3 linked regions of the Macaca mulatta genome follow. The protein of the gene in region 1 interacts with the protein of each later gene in a pairwise test. Links are inferred from orthologs where the notes say so. Each region holds a gene or a part of one and is shown on either strand. Other genes may lie near its edges.

Evidence for each region.
Region 2: the proteins of SF3A3 (region 1) and ZNF212 interact in binary tests that used the Homo sapiens proteins (3 or more experiments, as listed by UniProt). The two-hybrid records come from large-scale screens. The link is inferred for Macaca mulatta from reciprocal best matches to the Homo sapiens genes SF3A3 and ZNF212.
Region 3: the proteins of SF3A3 (region 1) and TRIM69 interact in binary tests that used the Homo sapiens proteins (3 or more experiments, as listed by UniProt). The two-hybrid records come from large-scale screens. The link is inferred for Macaca mulatta from reciprocal best matches to the Homo sapiens genes SF3A3 and TRIM69.

The regions. Positions count from the first base shown.
Region 1 is NC_133406.1:202,804,579-202,808,807, forward strand, and holds the start of SF3A3 (splicing factor 3A subunit 3), read left to right. Parts: upstream 1-1,305; 5' UTR 1,306-1,362; coding exon 1,363-1,458; intron 1,459-1,761; coding exon 1,762-1,809; intron 1,810-3,479; coding exon 3,480-3,532; intron 3,533-3,634; coding exon 3,635-3,740; intron 3,741-4,229. UniProt on the Homo sapiens protein: Component of the 17S U2 SnRNP complex of the spliceosome, a large ribonucleoprotein complex that removes introns from transcribed pre-mRNAs.
Region 2 is NC_133408.1:189,074,191-189,077,834, forward strand, and holds part of ZNF212 (zinc finger protein 212), read left to right. Parts: intron 1-1,168; coding exon 1,169-1,258; intron 1,259-2,014; coding exon 2,015-2,871; 3' UTR 2,872-3,644.
Region 3 is NC_133412.1:22,145,972-22,150,341, reverse strand, and holds the start of TRIM69 (E3 ubiquitin-protein ligase TRIM69), read right to left. Parts: upstream 2,897-4,370; 5' UTR 1,655-2,896; coding exon 1,649-1,654; intron 1-1,648.

The sequences.
Region 1 (4,229 bases):
ACCACACTTTATCCATTTGCCAGTTAATAGACGATTGGGTTGCATCCAGTTTTTGTCTATTATGAATAATGCCGCCGTGAACATGTGAACACATGGACATGTTTGCATTTCTCTACTTACAAGTGAAGATATATAGACACAATCTTTTTTTTTTTTTTTTTAAGGCTGTATAGCATTTCACAGCTGGTCTTCCTCTGCTTGGATGCACAGTATTTTATTTTATTTTACTTTTTTTGAGACGGAGTCTGTCTCTGTCGCCCAGGCTGGAGTGCAGTGGCTTGATCTCAGCTCACTGCAATGTCTGCCTCCTGGGTTCAAGCGATTCTCCTGCCTCAGCCTCCCGAGTAGCTGTGACTACAGGCGTGTGCCACCATGACGGCTAATTTTTTGTATTTTTAGTAGAGGTGGGGTTTCACCATGTTAGACAGGATGGTCTTGATCTGACCTCGTTGGCCCGTTGGATGCACAGTATTTTATTTAACATATTCCCTGCCGATAGACAAGTCGTTTCTACACGTGAATTTCTTTCTTCCTTTTTTTTTTTTTTTTTTTTTTTTTTGAGACTGAGTCTCATTCTGTTGCCCAGGCTGGAGTGCAGTGGCACGATCTCAGCTCACTGCAATCTCTGCTTCCCAGGTTCAAGAGATTCTCCTGCCTCAGCCTCCGGAGTAGCTGAGACTACAGGTGTGTGCCACCACGCCCGGCTAATTTTTGTTTGTTTGTTTTTAGTAAAGACGGGGTTTCACCATGTTGGCCAGGCTGGTCTCGAACCCCTGACCTCAAGTGATCCGCCCGCCTCCGCTTCCCAAAGTGCTGGATTACAGGCGTGAGCTACCGCGCCCAGCCTCACATGTGAATTTCTTTAAAAACACCACCAGCAAAACCCCACTATTCCCATTTTACTAAGAAAGGTGCTGAAGTCCAGAGAAGCAGAAAATGTTCTCATAATTTACGCTGAAAGCTGCGTCCTCAAGTTCCGGTTTCCCATCTCCCAGCTGCACTCCAACTGCTCGCGCAGTCCCCACAGTGTACCTGCCCGACCAGCCGGCCCCAGCAAGCCCCAGGAAGCGGTCCGCTGAACCTCGGGCTCTTGGGTTTTCCTATGCCCCCTGGAGGTATCTGCAAACCTCTCGGCATCGCTCCACCACACCTCCGACCAGCAGGTGGCACTGTTGCCATCTCCATAACATAGACTGGCCTTCCTTGTGGTGCTCATGTTTTCCTAAGTCCCCGGGCACTTCCGGCACTCGCGGAACTTTGATGCAGCTGGATGCGCAACGTGGGGACTCAGGCGCGCCGGGCGGCAGGAGTTGCTTCCGGCCGTGTAGGTGGTCTGAATTGGGAGGCTGCGGCTAAGGGAAGATGGAGACAATACTGGAGCAGCAGCGGCGCTATCATGAGGAGAAGGAACGGCTCATGGACGTCATGGCTAAAGAGATGCTCACTAAGAAGTCCACGGTGAGTGGGGTCTGAGCAGGGGCTGCGGCAGGGGCATGGGCCTCAATCCCGTGTTTGACCTCTGAGAGCTTGCTTTGGCCCTCAGCGCCTCCCCGCACTCCGCCTCCTGCCTCCTCCGGGGCTCCCTCTCCGAGCTCCGGTCTTGGTAACCTCCTCCCGGGGTCCAGAGCCCCAGAGGCCTTTCTTCCTCAGCTGCTAAAACCTGAGCGGATAAAACCTGAGCGGGTAAGCTCCGCCCTCGGGCGGCCTTTTCTATTCCAGAACGCAAGCTAACGGCGTTTGTGTCACCGTTTGCTTTTTCAGCTCCGGGACCAGATCAATTCTGATCACCGCACTCGGGCCATGCAAGATGTGAGTGCCCAGCTGTCTGTCACTCTGGGTTGGCGAGGGCGGGAAAAGAGAGGGGAAGTGAAGTGCGGGGTCTCAGTATGAGCACTGGCTAAAGGTAACCGGATTGGCCAGTCGCGAGCTCTCTGCCTGGACAGATGTCCACAGGCTGCCGGATGTAAGGGTGCTTCCTCAGTTCTCTGAATGGGGAACTCTTACGCATTCTTCGTTAATCGGAAAGGTGCCCCCCTTTTTTTTTTCTTTTGAGACGGAGTCTCGCTCTGTTGCCCAGGCGCGGTCTCGGCTCCCTGCAACCTCCGACTCCCGGGTTCAAGCGATTCTCCTGCCTCAGCTTCCGGAGTAGTTGGGATTACAGGCGCTCGCCACCAACTAATTTTTGTATTTTTAGTAGAGACGGAGTTTCAACATTTTGGTCAGACTGGTCTCGAACTTCTGACCTCGTGATCCACCTACCTCGGCCTCCCAAAGTGCTGGGATTACAGGCTTGAGCCACTGCGCCTGGCTTACACGTGTCCGTTCTTACAGCATCCTGTATCCCTTGGATGTGCAAACAATAGTTATGAGGAGTCCATGACTCAGGTGCACAGCTACAATCCTTGCCTTAAAAAAAAAAAAAAAAAATATATATATATATATATGTATGTATGTATACCGTATATTAGTGTTTTTCTCCCAGGATACTGCTTTAAAGCATTTTGGACTACTAAACTGCATTTGTCTGGTAGTAGTTCAATTTATTACTTAAAAGAAAAACAAGATGCTATTTAAATTTTTAAACAAGGTGATGAGTAAATGGAGGTTCATTTTACTACGTTCCTTACTCTTGGGTACGTTTGAAACCTGTTTAAAAAGGAATAAAAGACTTACTTGGACCTTCTGATTTTCAGGAGATGATCAGATTACAAGCCCTCAGCCCCAAAATACTCTGAAAACCAAGGATTTTATTTTTTTCCCCTTGGGTGATTATTTGGTGTCAAAATCTGACCTGCTCTCACTTGACAGGTTTACTGGCCTGAACCTGTGATAGGCTTTTTATGGTCTTTAATTTACCCCACTTAGTAAATAAGGTATAAGGTTTACTGCAGAACTGTGTGCTCCAGATTCCACTAGGGCTGTTACATAATATGTGATACCTTTTCTGAACTTAAAAATTCCAAATTCTGAAACAAATCTGGGCCCAAAAGTTTTGGAGGAGGGGACTATGTACCTGTACCATCCCGAATTAGTATATTTTGACTACAAAGGAAGCCTATGTAATGTTTATTTAGCCTGTCTACTCCTCAGTCAAGCTTTTTGAAATAGTGAATATCATCTTTATCTTTGAGGATGTTAGGTGGGAGCTAGTGTTTAGCCAAAGAGGGTGAGTCTGTTACAGGGAAAGTTAGGCATCGGTGGTATGTAAAAATAGGAGCCACCCCTTAAATGTTATCATTTAGGTAATCTTCCAATCGACCTGCTTAAAAAACTAACCAGGAATCAGGGCTGTTAAAGGGCTATTGAAAAACTAACCAGGAAACAGGGCTATTAAAGGTACTAGGAAGCACAGAACTGTTAAGACCATGTCCGTATCTCTTGAGATTGCCCTGGGCTTTGACTGGAGAGCCCTTGTTGTTTGCTTAGCTCTACATTTGTGCAAATTGCCTCATTCTGATGGTTTTGTATTTGCCTTTCAGAGGTATATGGAGGTCAGTGGGAACCTGAGGGATTTGTATGATGATAAGGATGGGTAAGTGACAGTCACAGCTAATCTAGGAGTTAGTGCTTCTGAGGAGCCATGGTTAGAGGACTGACTTTGTGCTCTATCTTTGAAATTTTCCTGAAATTGCAGATTACGAAAGGAGGAGCTCAATGCTATTTCAGGACCCAATGAGTTTGCTGAATTCTATAATAGACTCAAGCAAATAAAGGAATTCCACCGGAAGCACCCAAATGAGGTATGTCCTCCGAAAAGTATTTTCTCCAGACCTATCTTTAAAGCATATAAAGGAAAGGTATAAAGGAAACTGGACATGTGCTATTCAAATGCACTTCAAGAAAGAACTTGCCATTTAGGTGCAAGGACCATAGTTAGCTGACATCCTACAACTGCAGTGTTTTCAGCATCTCCCTCAGCTTTGAAGCCAAGGCTGGCCGGGTGCGGTGGCTCACACCTGTAATCCCAGCACTGTGGGAGGCTGAGGTCGGCGGATCACCTGAGGTCAGGAGTTCGAGACCAGCCTGACGAACATAGTGAAACCCCATCTCTACTAAAAATGCAAAAATTAGCCAGGCATGGTGGCATGCGCCTATAATCCCAGCTACTTGGGAGGCTGAGGCAAGAGAATCACTTGAACCCGGGAGGCGGAGGTTGCAGTGAGCCGAGATTGCGCCATTGCACACCATCCTGAGGGACAAGAGTGAGACTTCATCTCAAAAAAAAGCCA
Region 2 (3,644 bases), on another chromosome or scaffold:
TGGAGTGCAGTGGTATGATGTCGGTTCACTGCAGCCTTGACAGCTTGGGCTCAAATGATTCTCCCACCTCAGTTTTCCAAGTAGCTGGGATTACAGGCACACGCCACTGCGCCTGGCTAATTTTTAAATTTTATTTAGAGACGTGGGTCTTACTATATTGCCCAGGTTGGTCTTGAACTCTTGGGCTTAAGTGATCCACCTGCATCGGCCTCCCAAAGGGATTACAGGCGTGAGCCTCCGCATGTGGTCTCCCATGCTGTTTTTAATATTTAAGACTATTTGAGATGGGTATGGTAGCTCACATCTGTAATCCCAACACTGGGAAGCCAAGGTGGGAGGATAGCTTGAGGCTAGGAGTTTGAAACCAGCCTGGGCAACATAGTGAAATCTCTTTTGCTTAAAAGAAAAGAAAAAAGATGATTTGACAACCCTTTGTTACCTTGGATGAGGCAGGCAGCACAGGCTGACCAAAAGCATTTTCTTGGTGTTTGGCCAGAATTATAGCTGGTCATTGTGGTCTCAATGATTTTTGCTTGTTGATTAGAAGTGCTACTTAATAGGTATAAGTCTTTATATGCAAAATGTTACCTATTACATAATAAATGCTTTTTGTTTGGTAGACAAAGTCTTTTAAAACCTAGGTACATGGAGGAGTGTCAAGTGCCTGGAGCAGAGTAAGAGGTAAAGAAAATAGAAAATGGGCCAGAAAAGTGACCTTGTAAGCTTGGTTGGGTCACATGCTCTCATTGGGACTGTTTCCTTGTCTGTCCCAGTGTCCATCTTACCTTGCAGTGCCTTAGCAAGGATGAAATTAGATCCCCCAAAAGGAAGCATTGGCAAGACTTAAACTGCACACACGGAGAGGCAGAGGTGGGTGGTGGTGCCATCAGGGGCAGTGGTAGCTTTGTAACCTGCCTGCCTGAGCCACAGGCCCTCTAATGGAGGAGCACTGGAGGCAGCAGCTAGCCAAGTCAGTTGTTAGGATTGGCCAGAATTTTATAATTGTCCCAAACTGCTAGGGGAGACTGACACGAGCAGTAGCCTTTGAATCTGTTGAAGCTTTAGTATTTTCTCCCTGCCATTGGTCACCTTGGTCATTGGCAGCTGATCAGTGTGCAGTGAGCTTTTGCTCTCTCCTGGACTCACACCGTGCTGTTTCCCCACCCAGAGGTCCTTGGCCAGACAGAGGGAGAAGCGGAGTTGGGTACAGAGATGCTGGGTGACTTGGAAGAGGAAGGTCCTGGTGGTGCCCACCCAGGTGAGTGGCTCTGGAATATTCTGTTCCCTTCCATAGCCCTCTGCAGCCTAGAGTGAGCTTTCCCATGGCTGACCTGCCAGGTGCTGACTTGGTAAACTCATCTGGCTTTGCTTGTTCTGGACTCCTTTATGATTGTTGTTAGTTCAGCTGTTACATGTGCCTCAACTCCTACCATCCTATGGGGTCTTTAAGACTAACGGCCACATCAATCACTCTTCTTCATGCCCTACAGAATAGAGTACCATACTAGGCGGTAGTCAAAACCTGCCGGAGATTGAGTGTGGGCATGTCAGAGCTTCAGGAGGGAAGGCAGTGCAGGAAAAGCACTTGTCACTAGGTAATTTGGGAGGTTATGGAGGAAGAACAGAGCTGGACATGAATTTTTAAGCTGTAGGTTTAGTTTGTCTTTAATCCTTCAGATGTGTTATTTTAACACTCTTAATTTAGTATAGTTGTTACAGTGTATTCTGTCATTTTTCCCAGAGATTAAATATAAATTTGTAGACAAGCTTGGAGAACTATAGTTTACAGTATTTTATAAGAGTAATGCATTGATATTTCCAGTCAACATTGGAAAAACTATACATGAATAGTTTTATACAAGTCTTGGAACCTAGCCAGTGTCATCCTCCTCCATGTTGTCCTAATTCACTTATTTCTGGGGTGCTTCTGAAATTGACAGATGTTTGTTTGGTCCTGAAGAAACCAAAGGTACTAGAATGTGATCTTTTTTGTTGGTCTTCTTCCACTTTGCAGCAGGTGGGGTCATGATCAAACAGGAGCTACAGTATACACAGGAAGGCCCTGCGGATCTTCCTGGAGAGTTCTCATGCATTGCTGAAGAGCAGGCTTTCCTGAGCCCGGAGCAGACTGAGCTCTGGGGTGGTCAGGGCAGTTCTGTCCTCCTGGAAACAGGTCCCGGGGACTCGACTCTACAGGAGCCTGTTGGTAGTAGAGATCCTAGCAGCAGCAGAACTGTGGGCTGCCCGAAGCAGAAATCTCATAGGCAGGTACAGCTGGGCCAGGAATGTGGGCAGGGCCTGAAGCTGAAAAAGGACACTTCCCGCCCCTACGAATGTTCTGAGTGTGAGATCACCTTCCGCTATAAGCAGCAGCTGGCCACACATCTGAGCAGCCACTCGGGGTGGGAGTCTTGTACACCTGAGGAGCCAGAGGAGAGCCTTAGGCCCAGGCCACGGCTGAAACCGCAGACCAAAAAGGCCAAGCGACATCAGTGTGATGTGTGCCTGAGGAGCTTCAGCTGCAAGGTGAGCCTGGTGACCCATCAGCGTTGCCACCTGCAGGAGGGGCCCAGTGCCGGCCAACATGTCCAGGAGAGGTTCTCACCCAACAGCCTGGTTGCCCTGCCTGGCCACATCCCTTGGAGGAAAAGCCGGAGTTCCCTCATCTGTGGTTACTGTGGCAAGAGCTTCAGTCACCCATCTGACTTGGTGCGGCACCAGCGCATCCACACGGGTGAGCGGCCCTACAGCTGCACCGAGTGTGAGAAGAGCTTTGTCCAGAAGCAGCACCTCCTGCAGCACCAGAAGATCCACCAGCGGGAGCGGGGTGGGCTGGCCCTGGAGCCCGGAAGGCCCAATGGCCTGCTTTAAGGGTGCAGCCCCTCGCCCGTCTGGGGGGCGGAGGGGGGTGGCATTGGTTCCCCCAAAGAGACACTGCAGTCAGGGACTGAGTTCTTCCTGAGGGCAGTTGTTTCTGATTTGCCTTCCCTTGTCCCAGTACCAAGCCAAGCCCAAAGGCTGTCCTGAAAACCCCGTGGAAGAAGAGTCCAGGCCAGGTCTTTACCCTGCTGCCAAGTTTGCTGTTTCTTGGCACCTTCAGGTCTCTGGTTTTCTCATTCATGCCAGTGCTTGTGGGCTGGGGTCGGCGTTCTGACCCCACAGGGACTGGTGGCTGGTTCCAGGGCTCGTCCTGGCATTTCATGTCTTCCCACGGGGTTGAGTTGGGCCACAGGGGTGAGCAGCTGCCTAGAAGAGTTCTGGGAAGTGTAACCCTCCTTTTTTTCTTGTTTTGTAATCTCTTTGTTTAATAACAAGTAGAACAAATAATTTAAATGAACTGCTTAACCCTACTCTGAAGAACCTTTTTTGGAATTAGATTTTAGTTAATTTTTTAAAGAATACAGCCCAACGCTTTTTTTTTACATTTTAAGAGTTGTAGAAGTTGTTCCTCACTTGGGGACTGGACCTGCCCTCTAGGAGGGAATTGTTAATGGGGCTCTTTTAGCCCACTGACGCTTACTTAGGCCAGAGAGCAGGGGACACGGTGCTAGGTTCCCTCGTGTGGTGCTTGGTGCTCTCAAATTGTCTGAAAAGGACCAAGAGGAAAAGAGTCGGAGGGGTAGACCCTGCAGCCCCTGTTGAGA
Region 3 (4,370 bases), on another chromosome or scaffold:
AGGCCTGTAATCTTAGCACTGTGGGAGGCCGAGGCAGGAGGATCACCTGAGGTCAGGAGTTCAAGACAAGCCTGGGTAACATGGTGAGACCCTATCGCTACTAAAAAAAAAAAAAAAAAAAAAAAATTAGCCAGGAGTGGTGGTGTACCCCTGTAGTCCCAGCTATTCGGGAGGCTGAGGCATGAGAATCACTTGAACCCTGGAGGCGGAGGTTGCAGTGAGTTGAGATGGTGCCACTGCACTCTAGCCTGGGCAACAGAGTGAGACTCTGTCTTTAAAAAAAAAAACAAAGAAAGAACATCTCTTCCTCCTTTGGTTCACTGTGTATATTCTCAAAGAGCAGAGAAAAGGCAAAGATTAGAGCTATGAAGTCTTTGGAAGCTTGCATAAGAAATCCTTAATTTCTACCAGAGACATTTTTTTCCTGAGAAGTTTTGTGTTGTAAACTTTTGAAATCATGGTTAAGATATCTAAGGAGAGTTCATTTGCTTTTCAACCTTTATTCCTTCAAAGTAATTTTTAAACTTTGATGGGCAGATTTTATGAATAATTAACTTTGAGAGCAAAAAAATACAATTCCTCCACAGAGACAAACGATATGGCACAGCCAGCCCAAACCTAAGAGCAAGACACACTCCTGCTTCACAAGTCATGCCATTTTCACATCAGAAGGAAAGATTCTGAACTTTCCGACTTCTCGGAGCTTCTCAGAGTTGAAAGAAATTTTAAGCCATTTAATTCACTCCTTTCCAACCTCTGCCTGAACGTCTGAAGTAATGGGAAGCTCACTATCACACAAACAGGTTTTTTTTACTATTATGGAAAAGTGTCTATTTTCACTGACTTGGCCTTAAAGTAATAAGAATATAGTAGGTATAGGCAATAGTGTTTATTTTTCCCCTAGAAATTATAAACAAAATGCTTATCGCCCTGTTTGCTTCAATAGCTGAGGACAGAGATGAGTAACAGCAAACCTAAAGGTCCTATGATAGAGGAAATTAGAAACTGATCTTAATGATTAATATAATGAAATTAAACTTTATAAGAAGTGGAAACTGGTGGAAATGGATAATAACTCAGGATTCAAGGGCCCCTGTGTCAACATCTCTTGTCGATGAATTTTAGTGAGTTTTTCAAGCTTTCATGTAGTAAATAAGCATTTTCTTTTGTCTGTCTAACAATCAGGAAAACACTAAGTTGAGAAGAATATAACTTCCTTTGTTTTAGCTCTGAAGAGGTCTTAAAGGAAGGAATTCAATTAAAAATGTTTACTATCTGAGTATCGACTCTGCCTTAAATACAAAATAATCAAATGTGAAGGTATTGTAAGAAATCCAAGTTATACATAATAATTTTTAAATCTAAAACAAAATGATTACATTGATAATGAAGGCAAATTTTGTATAGTATGTGATTTAATTTTTCTCAAAATGTTTTGATGGATTTCATTAGTTTCCTACCAGCTTCTCTAGTCTAAATTATCAGTTATTCCAAGGCCTGGAGAGAGTATAGTAGCTACCAGCTGTCACAAGTTAAATACTTCTCTTCATTAATTTCCTTTTGTGCTCCCAAATCCATATCCTCTTCTATGATCCTGTTTTCCACACTATTCCTAGAAGCCCTGCTAAGTAAAAAAAGGATCACTCACCTCCATGAAGCTTCAGCCTACCAAGGGGCAGAGGCAGGCACTTGAATCAGAGCTCAGCAGGCCCAGGATGTCTGCAGACCAGAAGTCAGGGACCTGTTAGTTTTCAAGGAATGGGCTCAGAGCATGACAAAAGGAAGAAAAGTTCAGGAGCTGGAGAGAAGCAGCAAGGCCAGAGTGAGGTCTGGCAGATTCCGTGACAGTTTGTCAGTTGCTTTGATCATCATTTGCTTAAGAGAAAGAGAAACCCTCATTACAATACCCTACCTGCCCAACTTTTCTTTTGTAGGAGAAGAGGGCAGCTCATTTAGATTCAAACTGGTAGTCTAATCTTAAGGTTCATAGCTCCCCATTTCTGGACTAGGGATGCTCTATGAAAGAGGAAATACACGTCAGCAGCAGCCTATATTAAGCCTAACTCATGAAAATAACCACCTCACCCCTGTTCGTGATCCCATCACACCATCAAGACACTCGCTGAGTGGCTTTAATAGAGAGCTAGTTCACCTCTCATATTCCAGTGAAGCAGCCCTGACTTTGTCTCTGAGACAGTAACACAGGCCTGGAAAACACCAGGCCCTAAGAAAGCAGGATGAGCTTTCTTTCATACAGCTTTCTTCAGCAGTTTTCGCCCACAGAGAGATGTCCCAGCACTATGCTCCTGCGTGACTTATAAAGAGCCACCATAGAGCCAAACAGTTTTTCTTACAGTAATTCCTCTAACTCAATATGATTTCTTACACGTCTGGCTCCTGCCTAGCAGTCCAGCCTTAATGACCACAGCTCTTTCCCGGATGTTTGGGATTGCCACTCTTCTGCAGCTTTGTACATGTTATCCCTTCGGCTGGGAGTTTCCCTTCCCCTACACCCCCGTCTTTATCTCTTTACTAAACTCTTCCCTAACCACTCCCTCATCCCCAAACCAAGCTTTACCCACTTCCCTGTCTCTTCTAGAAGATATTTTGCTGGCTCTATACCAGAGGTTAGCAACCTCAGCCCTATTGATATTTTGGGCCTGTTAAGTCTTTTAAGTCAGAGGGGCTGTCCTGTGAATTTTAGGATATTTAGCCGTATCCCTGGCGTTTACACACTAGTTGCCTGTAGCCACCCCCTTCCTCTCCAGTCATAACAAAAATGTCTCCAGACATTGCCAAATGTCTCCTGGGGTCAGGGTTGGAATCATTCCTCAGTTGAGAAACACAGCTTTCCTTCCTTCCTTCCTTCTTTCCTTCCTTCCTTCCTTCCTTTTTCTCTTTCTTCCTTTCTTTTTTTCTTTCTCTTTCTCTCCCATTCTCTTTTTTCTTTCTCTCTTCCTTTCTTTCTTCCTTTTTTCTTTCTTTTTCTCTTTCCTTTCTTTGTTTTTTCTTTTTTCTTTCTCTCTTCCTATCTTTCTTCCTTTCTTTCTCTCTGTCTCCTCTTTCTCTCTCTCTCTTTCTCTCTCTTTCTCCCCTTCTTTCTTTCTGACAGGGTCTCACTATGTTGCCCAGGCTTATCTCAAATTCCTGAGCTCAAACTGTCTTCCCACCTCAGCCTCCCAAAGTGCTAGGATTACAGGTGTGAGCAACACCATGCCTGGCCTAGCTTTACACATTTCTATAGCACTCTAGATCTTTGTACATGTGGCTTTAACAGAGTGTATTCTAATATTTGATTGCATGTCTGCCCCTCCACTAAGTTGTGAACAACCGCAGGGTAGGTAGTACTCTGTCTTGCTCACCTTGACAGTACATGGCATTTGTTGGATCAAAACCTTTGTCAAATAAATGTCTATGAAATGCTGGTGATCACTTAATCAAAAAAGTAATTTTGTTTCATCTTGATTATTTTTGCTGTTGGCTAAAACATTTGACAATGCTTAGTATAGCTGATTTTACTAAAGCTTGGCGCCTGCACATTCTTGAACCTTTTGCCTAGGGGTAAGAGTACTGGCCTAGAAGGTGGAAACCTTGTCCCTCACCAGAGCACTGGGTAGCCTTAGCTAAGACATTTAACTCCTATGGGTATCAGTTCCTCCTTCTTTAAAATGTGAATTCCTAAGACCTCTTCCATCTCTAGAAGCCTGTGATTCCAAATCCTATGTAGCAAGAGGTCTCAATCTTCACAAATAGTACTTCAAGTCCTTTTTTTCACTATTTAAAAACAGTGTCCAGGCATGATGGCTCACGCCTGTAATCTCAGCACTTTGGGAGGCCAAGGTGGGAGGATCACCTGAGCCCAGGAGTTCAAGACCAGTCTGGGCAAGATGGCAAGACCCTGTCCCTACAAAAAATTTAAAAATTAGCCAGTGTCTGTGGTCCCAGCTACTCAGGAGGCTGAAGTGGGAGGATCATTTGTGCCTAGGAGGTCAAGGCTGCAGTAAGCCATGATCACACCCCTGCACTCCAGCATGGTTAACAGAGTAAGACCTTGTCTCAAAAAATAAAAAAAATAAAAAAATTCTATTACTGTAAACGAGACCCAGAGTGATGGTTAATTTTATATGTCAACCCGACTAATATACCCACTATAAAAGTTGCTTAAGCAAGAATGACATTTATTTCTCTCTTAAGTAAAAGTTCAAACTTCTATCGTGGCTCTGGTTTGCAAAGTTGTCAGTCTCCCAAATTCCTTCTCTTTACTTTGTTAACTTAGAACTCACAACATCCAGAAATTTGGAGAGGAGACTTTATTTCTTATAAAGGGTTAAAGGCCTGCAAGGTGGCCATCCCACAGGCCAGGAAGTACA